Linked DNA regions of Tamandua tetradactyla. The protein of the gene in region 2 interacts with the protein of the main gene of each other region in a biochemical or structural test. Links are inferred from orthologs where the notes say so. Each region holds a gene or a part of one and is shown on either strand. Other genes may lie near its edges. The genes, in order: SETD7 and DNMT1.

The links.
Region 1: of the proteins of DNMT1 (region 2) and SETD7, one has a biochemical effect on the other in vitro, tested with the Homo sapiens proteins (2 studies listed by BioGRID and IntAct, with this or other methods). The link is inferred for Tamandua tetradactyla from reciprocal best matches to the Homo sapiens genes DNMT1 and SETD7.

What each region holds. Positions count from the first base shown.
Region 1 is NC_135348.1:28,466,128-28,474,811, forward strand, and holds the start of SETD7 (histone-lysine N-methyltransferase SETD7), read left to right. Parts: upstream 1-5,164; 5' UTR 5,165-5,373; coding exon 5,374-5,413; intron 5,414-8,684. UniProt on the Homo sapiens protein: Histone methyltransferase that specifically monomethylates 'Lys-4' of histone H3. H3 'Lys-4' methylation represents a specific tag for epigenetic transcriptional activation.
Region 2 is NC_135337.1:91,553,106-91,560,994, reverse strand, and holds the start of DNMT1 (DNA (cytosine-5)-methyltransferase 1), read right to left. Parts: upstream 3,582-7,889; 5' UTR 3,487-3,581; coding exon 3,407-3,486; intron 3,203-3,406; exon of another isoform or gene 2,915-3,202; coding exon of another isoform or gene 2,859-2,914; intron 1-2,858. UniProt on the Homo sapiens protein: Methylates CpG residues. Preferentially methylates hemimethylated DNA. Associates with DNA replication sites in S phase maintaining the methylation pattern in the newly synthesized strand, that is essential for epigenetic inheritance.

The DNA.
Region 1 (8,684 bases), on a different chromosome or scaffold from region 2:
AACTGGAATCCTATAAAAAGGAGACCTTTTTTGGAGAGAATGCCTTTTGAGAATGATGAGAAAGCCACAGCAGAGCCAAGGAGAGCCACAAGGCCAAGAGAACCACAGAGCCCACCAGCCAGTGACCTTTGGAGATTCTGAGATAGCAGAGAACGCCTCAGAACCACGAAGCAGAGAGTCCACCAGCCAGTGACCTTTTGAGAACGAGGAGAGAGGTGCAAAACAACGAAAGAAGGACAAGAGAACCACAGAGCCCACCAGCCAGCAACCTTTGGAGATGAAGAAGGAAAACGCCTCCCGGCGAGCTTCATGAAACGAGAAGCCTGGAGAGAAAACTAGCAGACACCGCCATGTTCACCATGTGCCTTTCCAGCTGAGAGAGAAATGCTGAATGTCATCGGCATCCTTGAACCAAGGTATCTTTCCCTGGATGCCTTAGATCGGACATTTCTCTAGACTTGTTTTCACTGGGACATTTTCTTGGCCTTAGAACTGTAAACTCGCAGCTTATTAAATTCCCCTTTTGCAAAGCCATTCTGTTTCTGGTATGTCACATTCTGGCAGCTAGCCAACTAGAACATCCTCAATCTTGAGGTTCACCCCTATGAAACTCATCCCTACAAAGGACAGGCTAAGTCTACTTAAACTAAGCCTAAGAGTCACCCCCAGAGAACTTCTTTTGTTGCTCAGATGTGACCTCTTTCTTCAAGCTGACATGGCAAGTGAACTCACTGCCCTCCCCCCACCCCTACATGGGACATGACTCCCAGGGGTGTAACTCTCCCTGGCAATGTGGGACAGAAATCCCAGGATGAGCCAGAACCTGGCATCAAGGGATTGAGAAAACCTTCTTGACCAAAAGGGAAAAGAGAAAAATGAGAAGAAATAAAAGTGTCAGTGGCTGAGAGATTGCAAACAGAATCAAGAGGTTATTCTTATGCATTATATAAATATCCCTTTTTAGTTTATGGCATATTAGAGTGGCTAGAGGGAAGTACTAGAGGGAAGTACCTGAAACTGTTGCGCTGTTTTCCAGTAGCCTTGTTTCTTGAAGACGATTGTATTGTGATAAAGCTTTTACAATGTGACTGTGTGATTCTGAAAACCTTGTGCCTGATGTTCCTTTTACCTAGGGTATGGACAGATGAGTTAAAAATACGGATAAAAATAAACAAACAATACTGGGAACAAAGGTTAAAATAAATTGGGTAGATGGAAATACTAGTAGTCAATAAGAGGGAAGAGTAAGAGGTATGGTATGTATGAGTTTTTTCTTTTTTCTGTTTTATTTCTTTTTCTGGACTGATGCAAATGCTCTAAAAATTGGTCATGGTGAAGAATACGCAACTATGTGATGATATTGTGAGCCACTGATTGTACACCATGTTTGGAAAACAAGCAACGTTGGCATGTTAAGATCTATCAGTAAAAATATTTTTTTAAAAAACTGAGATGATCCAGTTTGCCAGAGTTGCCCTGGAGTCTTCCCCTTTCCTCTGTCTATACATGGACCCTGGGGCTCTTCATGCTCCATTTAGCTTTTCCCCAGGAAAGGTGGACAGAGAAAGTTTGGGCTTAGAAAGTATGTAGCCCAACCTCGTCATTTACAGATGGGAAAACTAAGGCCTAGAGAGCTTAACTGCCCAATGCACAGCTAGTGTTTGGTGGAACCCAAACAGATAAGGTGAAAACTCAAACTGGTGAATTTGGGGAATGGGGAGAAGCTGGCTAAGAAGTGAGCAGTGCCAAAATAAGAATTGATGCTTATTTAAAAGTTCCTTCATCCATTTTGCCTCGTCTCCTTAATGGAGATGTGAGCAAACGGAACAAACCAAAACCTGAACACCAGCCGCTGATCTACCAGTTACCTGGGGGGGGGAGCCCCCCGAGACTCCCTTTGGCTGAGCCCCTGGCGAGTACTTCCTCCTGGAAACACGAAACCCGGAAGTCTGCCCGGCCCCCTCCCGCCCCTACCAGTAGTGCAGAATGAGGGGTCAGTAGCAGCCAACACTAACGGAGAAGTTCTACACCCACCAGGTTTCTGCAATGTACTTAATATACACAGCGATAAGCTGACAGAATTGTTTCCCCTAAACGTAGGAAGGCGCATATCCAGCCTGTAAAAACATATTTACCACAAGAGTTATATCAGTCTTGTAAGTAAGCACCAGCCTTCTCCAGGGAAAGACAAGGGTGGTAAAATGAATGAAATCAACTTAGTATTTTGACTGCTTGCTGTGGGCGAAGGGGGACTTACGTTTCCCAAATAGAGTGTGAAGAGAGGGGACACATCTTTCGATGCAGGGACGCTAAGCCGAGGCAGCTTGGAAAAGTCACTGCTCGGTGTGTGCATGGAGGCACGCCCACCCCCAGGAGTTCCTGGACGTCCTGTGCAGGTGCCTTTTCTCCCTGGCAGGGCCTGTTCTGGCACACTGGGATATGCCGGGGTTAGGGGCTGAGCCACCGCTGCGGCCACCGCTGCGCCACTGCCGTACATTGCTGCTGATTAAGAGTTTTATTGATTTTCCAGCCCATGACCACACTGGTGGGGACAGACGATGACAGAGGGAAATGGTGGGAAGCCAAGTGGAAAGAGGGTTTATGAAATGAGCTGTCAATGAAGAAAACTGTGGGAAAGAATGTGATGGAAGCCAATCTGGGGCCAGTCGATGTGGGAAAGTAGAACAACTCAGAAATGTTCCTCAGGCTTGAGCTGAAACAAAGCGCTCTGCCAAAACACAGGAAGAGAAACCGGTCTGTGAGAAAGATTCAGCTCTGTTTATATAAAACAGAATATTCCTATCTGCTGAATCCTCACTGACAGTGCTTAACTCTCTCTCTGTACCAGGCACTGGATTGGGTTCTGGAGCTATAAATAAGACTCAGTCTAGAGAGAGAGATTGAAAATGCAGACGCAAAGTGATTTGTAAAAATGCAAGTGTGTCTTAAGGAAGTCATGAAAACATTGTGCCTAAGCTTTGGGCAGGGAGCCAGCAGGAAGGAATGGTGAGGGAAGTAATTCTTGCCATGGCCCACTCTCCCAGGAAGACCTCAATCCCCGTCTCCCTCTGCAGATCCAGCGGTGGCCTGCTTCAGCCAGGAGGGCCATATACAGGTGTTTCCAAAGCGGTAAGTAAAAGGGAACACTTGGCCAATCGAACACACAGTACCTGCTGGGAAAACCTCACAGCACCTAGGAGGGGTTGCACAACTTGCCTCTGAACCTAAATATGGAGGCAGGATGCTTGTGACATAATAATCGCTCCACGCCGACCCCACCATGGGCCGGATGCTCTGTGGTGCAACTGCGTGTTTGGAGGGAGATTTCTTCCAACCTACCGTCCCCTTGCCTTGGCCTCCTTGAAGAAAGGAATTCTTTTTGCTGCTTCCTTTAGCTTTTGGCATCTTCTTTGCCCCTGAAAATAAACTGGAAACTTAGGGAGAAAGACGAGCGTCTGCTGGGTTTTTGCACACAAGTGTAATACATAAGGGAGAGGTGATAAATACACGCGGAACTTCAGACAGTGTCGCCTAATGCAGAGGGCTTCAGAGCCGTCTAGCTAAAACCAGCCAATCTCAGATTAGTCTAACCTAAGCCAAAGGACCTCAGAGTGGTATACCCTAAGCTGGAGGGAGCTCACGGGGGTGGGGGGGGGTGGGGGGGGTGGACGCTAAGCCTCTTACTTCCTGCGGGAGGAATTCAGGCTGGCAAGGGTGGACCCCCTGGTCCAGGGCCCTTCCCTGTCTTTCTAACACAGCCAAAAGGGACTGAAATGCCTAGCCGTGCATGGGGACAAAAGTCCTCGGCATTATTCCCTTTTTCACAGAGAAAAGAATGAATTCAAACAAAACAAAAATACGCAATACTCCATTTAAAAAAACAGAACAAACAAAACTGTGATTTAAGCAGAGAGCTAAAAGCAAGGCGTGGTCTTCCACGTGCTGGAAGTATTTTGAAATCCCCAAAGTCTCACTCATCCTCCAGAAAACAAAATGGAACTTTCTTTCTTTGCTCTCCCACCTCCCTCCCTGCGCCCCTGCGGTAGCTGTGCTGGCAGATGCCCAGAGCTGCACGCTGGGATTCCACGGTACACTGCGTACATTTGCACCCATTTAACCAGCTATTTACGGCCGCCCTTTACCGCCACCTTTCCAAGACAGCGCCATAATGACATTGTCGTTATGAAGCGGGTGCCCACTGGTCTTCTCCATTGAAGACGCCCCAGCCTGCGGGGTGGTTGACACTTGGGAGAGACAGTTGGGGCCATCACCCGTACCGCGAGGGCCACGAGGGGGGCGGGCGCGGGAGCCGGAGGGTCCTTCCTCGTTAGCTCCGCCGGGCGGTCCATCTTCCATCCCCACCGCGGCGGGGAGGCACCTGCCCGCGCGGCGGCTTGTTTCCTGCCTGGAAGAGACCCCACTGCCCTTTGGGTTGGACGCGCCTCCGAATCATCCGAGGCGCTCGGGGGTCCCGAGGAGGGCGGGGCCTGGCCGGGATGGGGTGGTCCCCGCAGGCCGGCGGAGTCGCTCCGGATGGCACCCGCTCCAGTCTGGGGAGCAGTGTCGTGGGACACCTGCCCTGCCGAGCGTGCAGCCCTCGCGCGGCTCCGAGGGCAAATGGGGTGAAGTGGGGGGAGAGGGCGAGAGGAAGTCGAGGCGCCAGAGCGTCCGAAACGCTTCCTTTGTTTCCCCTGCGTTTCGGAGGCTGTCCCGAGGTGGGGGGCGGCGGGCACCCCTTGCACGGCCAACTTCCAACCTGGCCCCCTGCTCCGGCTGGGGGTCCGGAGCTCTAAGCGCCCCCGAGGGCGGGGACCCGGAGGGCCGCACGTGCAGGGGAGAAGCCCGCGGCGCCCAGGACCGCGTGGCGCGCTCGGAGCTCGCCAAGTCGCGCAGAAGCCAAAGGCAGACGCCGAGGGGCCCGGGGCTCGGCCCGGCGGCGCAGGGGGAGCGGCCCGCGAGCGCCTCGGGTCTCCAGGAGCCTTACTTCTGGGAAGGGACCGGGAACCGTCAATCAGCGAGGGAGGGAGCGCACCGGCGCGAGGTGATGTCAGCGGATCAGCTGCTCGCTAACAAAGAGGGGGGATCGCAGGAGAAAGTTGCAGCAGCGGCAGCGGCCGCAGCGGCACCCCGGGGCCTCGAGGGCGAGGGGCCAGCGGGCGAAGGGAGGGGGGACGGTTGCTGCCGCAGCAGCTGAAGGCCAAGAAATTGAAAGGGCTGTAGGGGGAGGGAGTGCCAGCCAGCCCGACTGCTCCTCCTCTTCCTCCTCCTCCAAACTCGCAGGGCTCGGCCCCAGCGCTCGCTCAGCCGCCGGGAGCACCGGGAGGGACGGGCGGCAGCCGCGCGACCCCGAGCTGGCCAGGGTCCCCAGTCGCCATGGATAGCGACGACGAGATGGTGGAGGAGGCGGTGGAAGGTACAAGCCTTTCTCCGAGGCTGGGGAACACGCAGCGGGAGGAGTGACGGGCTGCGGCCGGCGCGGCACCGGGCCCCGCGGCTGCCGCGGTTCGCTCGGCGGGTGGCCCGCTGCCCGGCTCGGGCGGGGGCCGGACAGCCACGGCCGAGCCGCCGGGAGCGCGCGCTGCGCGGCGGGGCGCGGCAGGCGCAGGCCGGGCCCGGGACTCGGCCGGGCCGGGGCCCCCCTGGGAGGGCACGGCTGCTCCCTCCCGCCCGGCGGCCGCAGCCTGCAGTCGCCTCGGAGTTGCGAAAACCTGCCGAGCGCTCTCCCCTGGCTTCCTCCTTTCGCGTCTGGGGGGCGGGAGGGGGGGCGTTGAGGGTGCGCAGGAAGGGCCCCCCAAGAGCGGTGGTCCCCGCCGAGCAATCCCACTGCCCCGTTTAGGACGGCGGCGAGCCTCGCAGGTGGCCAGCCCTTTCCTTCCGCTCGCCCCCACGCCCCGCAGCGGCCGCGGCCGGGTCGGGTCCCCTGGCGCAGCGCACTGGGTCGGGCCAGGCACGTGGCAGCCCCGGCCAGGGCGGGCGCTCCTCGGGGAAGATGAAATCATCGCAAGGCAAGGGACGGCGGGCCCGACCCGGGGCTCGATCGCGCGCGGGCCGGGAGGCGACCGGCCCTTCCCCTCTGCTGCCCCGAGCGCGAACCCGGGCCAGCCGCCCCTCCCCCGCCTGCTTCCCAACCCCGGGCGGCCGCGCCGTGCAGGCGCGTCTCAAGCCCAGACCGAAATTGCTGGGTGACACTTAACTTTCTGAATTCCATGCAGTTGGCTGTGTGTGATATCACTGCCTCGGTGTCGTGTTTCTCCGCCCCTTCCCTTCCTGCGCCCCTCCCCCGACTTTTCTCGCCACTTTGTTTTGCTGAGTTTCTCCACCTCTTTTTGGCCGGTTCTGAAATCCTTGTGGAACGTTATACAATCTCGTTGTTTGTGTCGTGAGCTGTTAGGATTTTGTAACAGCGAATATTGGAAAATACTCTTTAGCCTATTTATTTGGTTCTACCCCAGACAGGACGTCGTGATGTTTTGCAATGTTGTGTGGTATTATTCCAGAATATTTTAAACTAGGCGTCTAAGCAAATAATTTTTAGCTATCGGCTGTATCTGGCTTCTGTCTAATCTGTGTAAACAAGTAAAGAAAAACAAACAGTAAAGAAAAACAAAGTGGCGACATTGTGCTAATACACACGAGTACATAGTTGTTTCCTCATTGAGAGTAAATCGATTTTTATGTTTTTATATAAGATAATTGAACTCCTTTTGCAGTGTTTCCTAGGTCTTAGGATGAAATTAAGTAGAATAATATTTCTGAATTCTCTAAAAGATGTCATTCTAATGTAACTATTAAAATTTCTTACTTCATCTAGCTTCCAGGACAACTTAAAGAATTTTTTAATTAAAAAGATTCACAATGCTGTGAATCCACAGAGCTATTTACCTCTCTAATAAATAAAGTGAATGTGGGCGTTTATTGGGTGGCAGAGACATTGAATTGACCCATAGGAAGCCTTATTAGAATCTAAAAGTTATTGGCTTCTTGTGCCTCCCTGATAGGAAAGAAAAATGAAAAAGGCTCTTCTCAAGTTGTAAGGGTTTGCTGTCCTTGGAAGTTTAATTTTACTTGTGAAAATGTAATGTAAACCCTTGGGCACTGGAGATGCTCCCCAGGCTAAACCATCTTCCCCTTTGAAGCTGTTTAGAAACAAAGTCAAGTTGTCCCAGGGTCCTCTGCCTCATTTGCAGAATGTAATCTTAGAAATGTAGCCTTAGAAATGTAGCATTGTTGTTGCTGAGATTGTCCAGTGGATTGGAAGGTTCTTACTAGTTACATAGAGGGACCATATATATAATTGTCCAAATTAGAACATTCAAAAAAAAAAAGAAATTAAAAAACAAACAAAAACAAATTGAGAATGAGAGAGGCGCTATGAATGATTATGCTGGGACAACGAGGTAGAGCTTGAATGTGGGGGCAGTCTGGGACACGTGGTCACTCAGCTGTGCCTCCCTGTAATAATATAATGACAAGTGTAACACAGAGTCTTTGAGAGTCCTTGGGAGACCCTCAAGCTCCAGCATGCAGTAAACTGTACCCCCCAACTTTTTCTCCAGCCACTCTTGGGCTTTTTACTGCTGGGTATAATGCACTTTACTTCTCACCAACTGACACGTGCATGGGGGAATGTTGTAAACTACTTGTTCCTTTTTCCTAAAGAGAACCTAGTCTGAAGATGTTGCTGTGTAAGTACCACGTAGCCTACCTCTCTCCGTGAACAGAACCTCTGTTCTCAGTAGAGAACATACTAAACAGAATCTCTGTTCATTGTCGTAGCTATTATTATCAATAAAATAATTATATTATTGTTTAGTTCTTATGATGTGCAGTCTCAGTGTGGTTTCACACATTTTCTGTCCGGTTACTATTATGAGATGGGCACTAATAGGATCCTAATTTTACAGAGAGGGAACCAGACCATAGAGAAGTTAAGAACTAATCCAAGGGCACTCAGCTAGGAGACAAGACAAGCTTGGAGCTTCCAGAATTTCATTGCACCATACCAGTTGTCTCTCTACATTATAAAAATTTTAATGGGCGAGTCAAGTATATGAAAGAGATGGTACCTGAGTTTGGAAGAGCAGTTAAATATTACACCAGTTTCATTATCACTGTAACTCTTTAGAGGTTGGTTATGATAGAGTTCCGTGAGAAAAGATTTGAATAAACACAGTTTTAGTACGAAAGTATTAATTTTTGTTTGTTTATTTACAACCTGTCATTCATCTGTTTCAACTCTCTTCTCAGTGTTTTTCCTTTGGATTAATATGAATCAGAAGATTATATTTGGAGAATAGGAATTTAACTTATAGACTGCAATAGACATCCTTTTCCTTCTTATCCTTCCCTATTAAAGGAAAATTTCCTTGTCATCTACTCTGGGCAAGAAATTGGTGTCTTCAGGACTTGAGTTTAAATGTCTTGTGCCACATGGTATCCATTGTGGTTCTCTGCCAGGTGGAATTATAGCTCAGGGAAGTTCTGCAGTGAGCATGGATGAGTTCTGGAAGGGAGGGTCAGTTGGGGAGTGATACTTAGTTTTCCAGCGTTACTCTCTGGGCCTTTGTGAACAGAAATATTTATTACTATATTTCTTTGTCTTTCCATAGATACAAAGTTGAATATGATATGGTCCCTCATATAATTTCAAAGAAATATATCATATCTATAAGAATGATTTGTGG
Region 2 (7,889 bases):
CCATCTTAATCTAATCACAGAGCGAAGAAAGCTATAATTGCAAAGGCTAATCAGAGTTGAGCTAAGAAGGGTACCACAATTAAGGTATAAATCCAGGCTTCCTTAAAGGGGAAAGTCTGACATGCAAATGTTTAAGAGCCTACTGTGAAGTAAGCTGCAGATATGAGGAAAAAGGTAAACATGGTCTGACAACAATCCTGGAAATATCATCAACTTCAGGGCTGCAAAAGCAGCATGCTGGGTATGCTGACAGAATCCCACACCCTTCGGAGGGAGGGAAAGGGATAGGCGGAGGCCAGCCTCATGGCGTTCCCTGTGCCAGGGTCAGAGGCTGAGAAGCTAAAAGGTGGCCTGGCCTGTGTGGCTGGGGAAGAGAGCGCAGGATGAGGCAGGCAAGCAGACGGTGATTCTGGACTTCACACCATGTGCGCAATGGGGGGGCGGGGGGGGGCAGGAAAACCACTGGATCTAACCTAGGTTTTAAGGACTACAGTTTCCACTCTAGAAAACAGATCTGACTCAGGAAGACAAGTGGGAAACTATCACTATTTCGGTACAAGTGATGGTGGCTTGAGCAGAGTAAGAAAAATCACAGGGAAAAATGTGGCTTGCCCTGAAAGGCATGATTTTAGAAGACTTGGGTATATTATACTTCAAAAAGTTTAGAAATACAAATATTGGAAATACTTTCTAGTATCATTAGATATCTAATGGAACTACAAGTTAAAAAAGGAAGTTAAAAAGGAGTTTAAAAAGGAAGCTGCCTGACCCCTAGGGATGAGTCTGCTCTCACACCGTGAGATGGACAATACCTTCCTGACCAAAAGGGGGAAAAGAAGTATAACAAATAAGGTATCAGCGGCTGAGAGATCAAACAGAGTCCAGAAGCTACTCTGGAGGCTACTCTTATGCAAACTTCAGCTAAACACTGCTAATTCCTATGGTTTGCCAACCCCAACCAACATCATTACTGTTAACTCTTAAGAACACCTAGGACTCTGAGACACTATAAAAGTTTCATGCACTAACTTCATTTTCCCGAAACCTATAACTTTCAGAGGGTTCTTGGGCCAGATAAGTCCTGAAACCCAGAGGCACTAGCCTCTCCAAGATTATCAACTAATTACAACCCCCTATCCCTTATTGTTAACAGCCCTAATCAACATGAAAAAGTCAGAATGGGCATAGCCCAAACATCCCTATAGACTGGGAGAAGGATCAAAGGAGAAGGAGGAGTTATAACCAAAAAAAAAGGATTTAACAAATGAGTATAACTGCTGAATCACAATACTGATATTTCTTTTGGCCTCTAGTGTTTCGGAGCAGCTAGAAGGTAAAATCTGAAATAGTAGAATAGTAACCCATAACAAACCCTGAAATCTGTTCTATAACTGCTTGTTAAAATGTACTTTGAGGGCAGTGTGACAGTGGCTCAGTGGCAGAATTCTCGCCTGCTATGCCTGAGACCCGGGTTCCATTCCCAGTGCCTGCCCATGCAAAAAAAAAAAAAAATTTACATTCATTTACAAAATCTAAGTTTAAGGGACTGTTGAATGTCATGTTTATGTGTCTATTTTTTTGTACCGTGAGATACTTCAAAATGTAAACAAAAAGCTGTTAAGAAGTTCACATAAGCTAATAATTTCAGTGACTATCACTTGATCTAATGTGGGTGTCATCACTTCATACCAAGAGGCGGCAATTCTAGTCCAAAGTTATATGGAACCTGGGGTGCACTGGTGAGTGTTTAGACTCATCCATAGGTGTTTTATTTCAAACAAAGCACTCAACCAGGCCACAGAGCCCCCTGAGTCAGTGGGCCATTGGCAACCACTTGGCAAAGGAAAAAGGCTATGGCAAGTTGCAGACTTAAGCACAAATCTCTGCTTCTTAATAGCAAATTCCTGAGAAACCCGCTTTTAAGATCTTGAGGATTAAATGAGATAAAGTAAAGTACTTCATGAAATTTGTAACTGATTAGCAGAACTGAAAAAAGTAAGGCAAATTAGGTGAAAACAATGTTAATGCCTTTATGCACCGATAATGTCACTTAAAGCCGACACTATTAATTCTACTCTACAGATGCAGAGGCAGCATACATTTGCCCAAGGTCACAGGCAAGCCAGTGGAGAGAGGGTTATCATCAAGGAAAATAAGGCAGGGCCCAAATTTCATTTAGTGGGTCTCACATTGTGAAGGTAGATACTTTCATCATTTCATTTCCATTTTAAGTAACAGGATATCTTGGGGAAGGATGGGAAGCCTGATTTCCTGCAACAGACAAGACAAATCCCCTCTAACCGTGGTTAAAAAGTGGGCTGAGCTTTAAATGACTGGTACAGAAGCCCCAGGGCCCCTAAACACATACACACACACACCTCTCACCTCCAAAAGCCCCAATCAGAATTGGTCTGGCCCCACAATACGGACTAGACTTGGGGGATGGGGTGGGAAATAAGCACAGGGAAAAGGAGAAATGGCAAAGCTGGGTTCACAAATCTGGCGTGGAAGCCTTCAGCCCCGGGAATGGGGTTCCCAAGAGTGAATTTGATATGCCCTCCACAAACAAGAGGCTGAGGCCAAATGCTCTTTCCACCGACCCCTGTCCACCGGGGACCCAACTCAGGCAGGAAGGGGCCTGTTTTAGATGCCACCCTGCAAACTGCAGCCACCTCTGGCTTAGCGAGGCTTCCTGGATGCCCAGGGCTCCCAGGCAAGCAGATTTCCTAGAAAGGACCAGTCCGCGTTATCCAGCTGCTCCGCGGTCCCGGTCCTGCGCTGCCGGGTAGGAGGCGGACGACACCCGCACAGCCCGAGGGAATGAACAGAGCCCCCATGAAAGGCTCGGGCTCGCGAACCTAAGCCGGCCTCGCCCGGGCCTCGACCGGCGACGTCGGTCTCTGGAGGCCGCCATCCGGATGCACAGCGCGGGGAATCGAAGGGTCTCCCCAGTGCGAATCACGGAGAACCGGGTCGGCCGGACCCCGGCCCAACTGGGCACCGGAAGTGGAGGCCAGAGTGCCGGGGCTGAGGGGCGTCCAGAGGTCTGGGGGGGCCGCTCCCTGCCTAACACCGCTGCTCAGCAAAAGGAGACCCCCCGAGGTGAGCCCCCAGTTTTGCTCCGTTTTGCGGGGCGGGGGGGGATGTCTAAAGAGACCCCACGTTTCTAGCCGCCAGCGCGCCGTGAGGGGCCACAGCCCATTTTGGCGCCAAATGGCCAGGGGCACGCGCGACCGGAAGTACCACCCTGACCGCGCCAACCGCCGCCCGCCGCGCCATCCCGCGCATGCGCGTCCGCCTGTCAGCGGCGGCCGCGAGCCGGCCCGAGGGGAAGCGACCCCCCCTCCAGCGCCGTACCTCTCCCACCCCGGCCGCCCCCGAGGACGCAGTCTCCCACGACACTTACCGCCTGCGGACATCATCGGGCAGTGAGACGGCCGGGGAGGCCAGCGTGGGCACACGAGCCGGGGCGGTTCGGGCGGGCATCTCGGAGGCTGCAGCGCGGGCGGGTGGCCCCGGCTTTTCGCGCGGAAACCGACTGGGAGGGGCGGCGAGGGGAGACGGCGTGTACCACCCCGGCCTGCCCAAGGGGGAAAGCGGGACGTACCATACGGAGAGGCCGTACCACGTACGGGCGGAAAAGCCGTGCACAGGCACCGCGCATGTGCGAGACGGGCGCGCACCCCTACACGGGGCAGTGGGCCTGCCCAAGCTCCGTCGTTGGCAACGGGTGGGAGCGCCCTACCCAAGACTTTCATTCATTCATTCTTTCGGGCTTTCTGAGGATAAAGTAGCGAGCAGCCTCAGGGGGTTACGAGCCAGCGTGCAGGCCCTTGAGTTAAAGTCCTCGCTTTCAACCCCATCTCTTTCCTCACTAGGCGACCTTGAGCGGTGGGTCACTTGGACTGAGTCTGTTTCCTCACCTGTAAAACGGGGCTAAATAGCACCTACTCCAGAAAATCTGTAGGATACACAGAACATGTAGCTGGCGCCAAGGACCCTGGTAGTGCTGGGAGGGCGAGATCACGTCCACAGCCTGTTTTTTAAAAAAGAACCAAGTCAACTTAACAATTCTGGTATACTCTTCTATTGCTCAGATGTGGTCTGTCTGTCTCTCTCTCTCTCTCTCTCTCAGCCAACACACAAGCAAACTCACTGCCCTCCCCCTCTCTACGTGGGACATGACTCCCAGGGGTGTGGACCTTCCTGGGAATGTGGGATAGAAATCCTAGAATGAGCTGGGACTCGGCACCAAGGGATTGAGAAAACCTTCTGGACTGAAAGGGGGGAGCGCGAAATGAGACAAAATGAAGTGTCAATGGCTAAGAGATTCCAAACAGAGTCCAGAGGTTATCCTGGAGGTTATTCTTACACATTATATAGATATCACCTTTTTAGATTAAGGTGTGTCTGAGAAGCTAGAGAGAAGTGCCTGAAACTGTAGAGCTGTGTTCCAGTAGCCATGTTTCTTAAGATGATTGCACAGTGATAATAGCTTTTGCAAAGAGACTGTGTGATTGTGAAAACCTTGTTCTGATGCTCCTTTTATATACGTATGGACAGATGAGTAAAACATATGGATTAAAAATAAATAAATAGGGGGAAACAAATGTTAAAATAAATTAGGTAGAGGGAAATACTAGTGGTCAATAAAAGGGAGAGATAAGGGGTATGGTATATATGAGTTTTTTCTTTTTACTTTTTATTTCTTTTTCTGGAGTGATGTAAATGTTCTGAGAAATGATCATGGTGATGAATATACAACCGTGATGATATTGTGAGCCATTGATTGCACACCAAGTATGGAATGTTCATACATTAAGAATAGGTTCATGTGTATGTTGATTGGTTTCATTAATAAAAAAATTTTAAAATTGTGGTATAATTTTTCATTTTCTTGGTATTTAACAAGTGAATGTGTTTGTGTGCACACATGCGCGCGCGCGTGCGCACACACACTGTAGGCACCCTAGCAGCTGGGAAGGAGAAGCGTGCCTGGCCAGAAGTGGACCTCAAGCCCTCTGGTTGCTATAGATTCTATGCATGGCAAGATCCAAGAAGACGGAATAATAATACTAAGAGTATAATTAATAGTTATTAATTTTATAGGTAACCAGCATTTATGTACTATTCTATACCAGACTGATTAGGAGTTATATAATTTAATCCTTAACAAACCCTAAAGGGAGATATTAGGACCCCATTTCCCATGGTCTAGAACTGAGGACCCAAGATCATAAATTCAGTAAGTAAAAGGAACTCTGAACCCAGAGCTTGAGTGCAAAACAGTGACCCCAGGGTTGGTCAGCCATCTGACCCCTGGGAGGCTAAAAGGACAGCACTGGGAGAACTAGATGAAGGAGGTAGCAGGGCAGACAGGATGGCAGGTAGAAGACAGTGTTGCCAGAGTGAGGCTCAGGCCCCACAGTCCTGCTGGAACCCAGCATCCAGGCCTCTAAGCCGGGTGGGGAACAGACTAGCAGACCTGTATTTCAGGGGCCTCAACTTGACAGAGAGAACAGCTGCATTTATTGGGTCCTTTGCCAGCCTTGTGAGGAAGGGATGACTTGACCCATTTTACAGATGGGACAAGGGCTCAGGGACATAAAAAAAAGATTTGCCCAAGGGCCCATGGCAAGTTCGTGTCAAAGCTCGACTTCCAACTCAGTGGTCTTCTCCCGAGCTGCTCACGCCAAAAAGCCAGGCACCATCTTTAAATTCTCTCCTCCCCGTGCATTGGGGATTGAATCACTCACCTCCCCCACAAAAGATAGGTTCAAGTCCCAATCCACATCCCCATGTGTTTGGTTTTTTTTTGTAAACAGGACCTTTGAAGGTGTATTATTAGTTAAGATTTGGACTCATTTGCAAATTGCAAACATCCTTTTCACAGCTAAGGCCAAATTAAATCAGGGTGGTCTTAATCCATATACTGGAGGCTTACAAACAGAGGCAATTTGGATGTAGGCAGTCAGTAGAAGCCAGAAGTCAGAGGAAGCCAGAAAATGAGCAGATGACCATGTGACGGAGGCAGAAATGCATGCCAAGGAACCCCAAGGATTGTGGCAAGCTACCACCTGAACACTACAGACTCCAGGAAGAAGTGCAGCCTCGAGACTTCAGTTTGTGGACTCCTAGCCTCAAAAAAAACATGAGACAATAAATCCCTGTTTTTAAGCCAACCAACCAGTGTGTTGTATTTGTCGCAGCAGCCCCAGCAAACTAAGCCAGCCCTCACAGAATGAGCTACTCTTGTTGGTTTTTTCTCTGCAATGCAACCCAAGTCCTTCTCCTTACCACCTCTGCTGCCACCCCAGCCCAGCCTGCCATCCTCATTTACCTGGACTATTCTAGCAGCTTCCTCCTCAGCTCCAAGCTGTCCCGGAAAGTCCCTTCTCCACAGTGCAACCAGAGAGCTTTAAAAAAAGAATAAAAATAATTGGAACATGTCATTCTCCTGTAAAATCTTCCAAAACTTCCTATTGCCCTTGAAATGAAATCCAAGTATTTTATTCCATTTACAGGGTCTCCTCCCCCCTTCACTGAGCTCAGCTTACTTGGCCCCCTTTTACTCTTTCAAGCTCTTGCGTGCATCACAGGCTTAACCTATGCTGCCCCCTCCTCCTAGACCAGTCTCCTGGGAGATCCACCCAACTCCACCCAGGGTCTCCTCTGGCCACCCAAAAGCAGCTCCATTCCCCTCTTTTTTTCGTCACATTGATCATCATCAGAGATTCTCTTATTTACTGTCTCTTGTGGTCTCTTAGAGCAGGGGTCAGCAACCTTTTTCCTTAAAGGCCCAGAGAGTAAAATAGTTGGCTTCACAGGCCACATGGTCTCGCTCCTGCCCTTAGAGCGCAAAAGTCACCATAAAAAAGTTAAATGAGAAAATAAAAAATTAAAATTAAAAAAATCACCATAGACAGTTCTAAACCATAGCCACGGCTGCAGTGCAGTAAACTTTTATTAACAAAAAGATGCACCCCTTTGATAGTTAATCAAATGGCATTTAAGATAGGGGGTTTAATATTTAGAATTTAAGAAACTAGATAGCAATCTAATATCCACAGATTTTTTTCCTTGCTTGCTTTAATTTTAAATTGGCTTATGAAACATATTGTACAAACAGGCTTTACTATGATTGCTTAGATTTTTTTTTAATACGCTTATGAATAAGCTAACTAAGATATCCAGTTTAGGTGGTTAAGATTTTCATGTTAATTGTAAAAATATTTGTATCTTCGTATTTTCCTGAAATCGAGAAAATTGTTTAGTAACATAGGTCATGACTATAGCAATGAAGATATTTGTAAGAACTTTCTACTCGATATTTTGAGAGCATTCAGTTTTGACAGCTGATCAAATGCTATTTAAGTTAGTGTTCAATATTCAGAAAATAAGAACTTTGCTATCTGAATTTGTAGATTTTTTTCCTCTGTTGCCTTCATTTTAAATCAGTTCATGAAACTTACTGTGCAAACACAGGTTTTACAATGATTACATGGATACTTTATTTAAATATGCCTATGGTTAAGCTAAGATATCCATTTTGGGTGGCTCTAAAGCGTATTGTTTGTTCTCTTAAATTAAAAAAAAAATTTCAGTGGTAGAATGCTTGCCTTCCACGTGGGAGGCCCAGATTCGATTCCCAGACCATGCACCCAAAAATAAATAAAATAAAGTTGTGCCTGTGGGCCGTACAGTATGAGCTCCAGAGGATTCATCTGCCTTGTTCCTGGCTAAATGGCTCCAGGGCTCACACAGCGGGAAGGCAGGTATCTGTGGAGTTAACATATAGGATGCAGGGGGGTGGGGGTAGCACATGAATGGTGCCCGGTGCAGAGTGAAGACACTGAATATGAGTAAGTGCTAAAGCTGCTTTCTTCCCC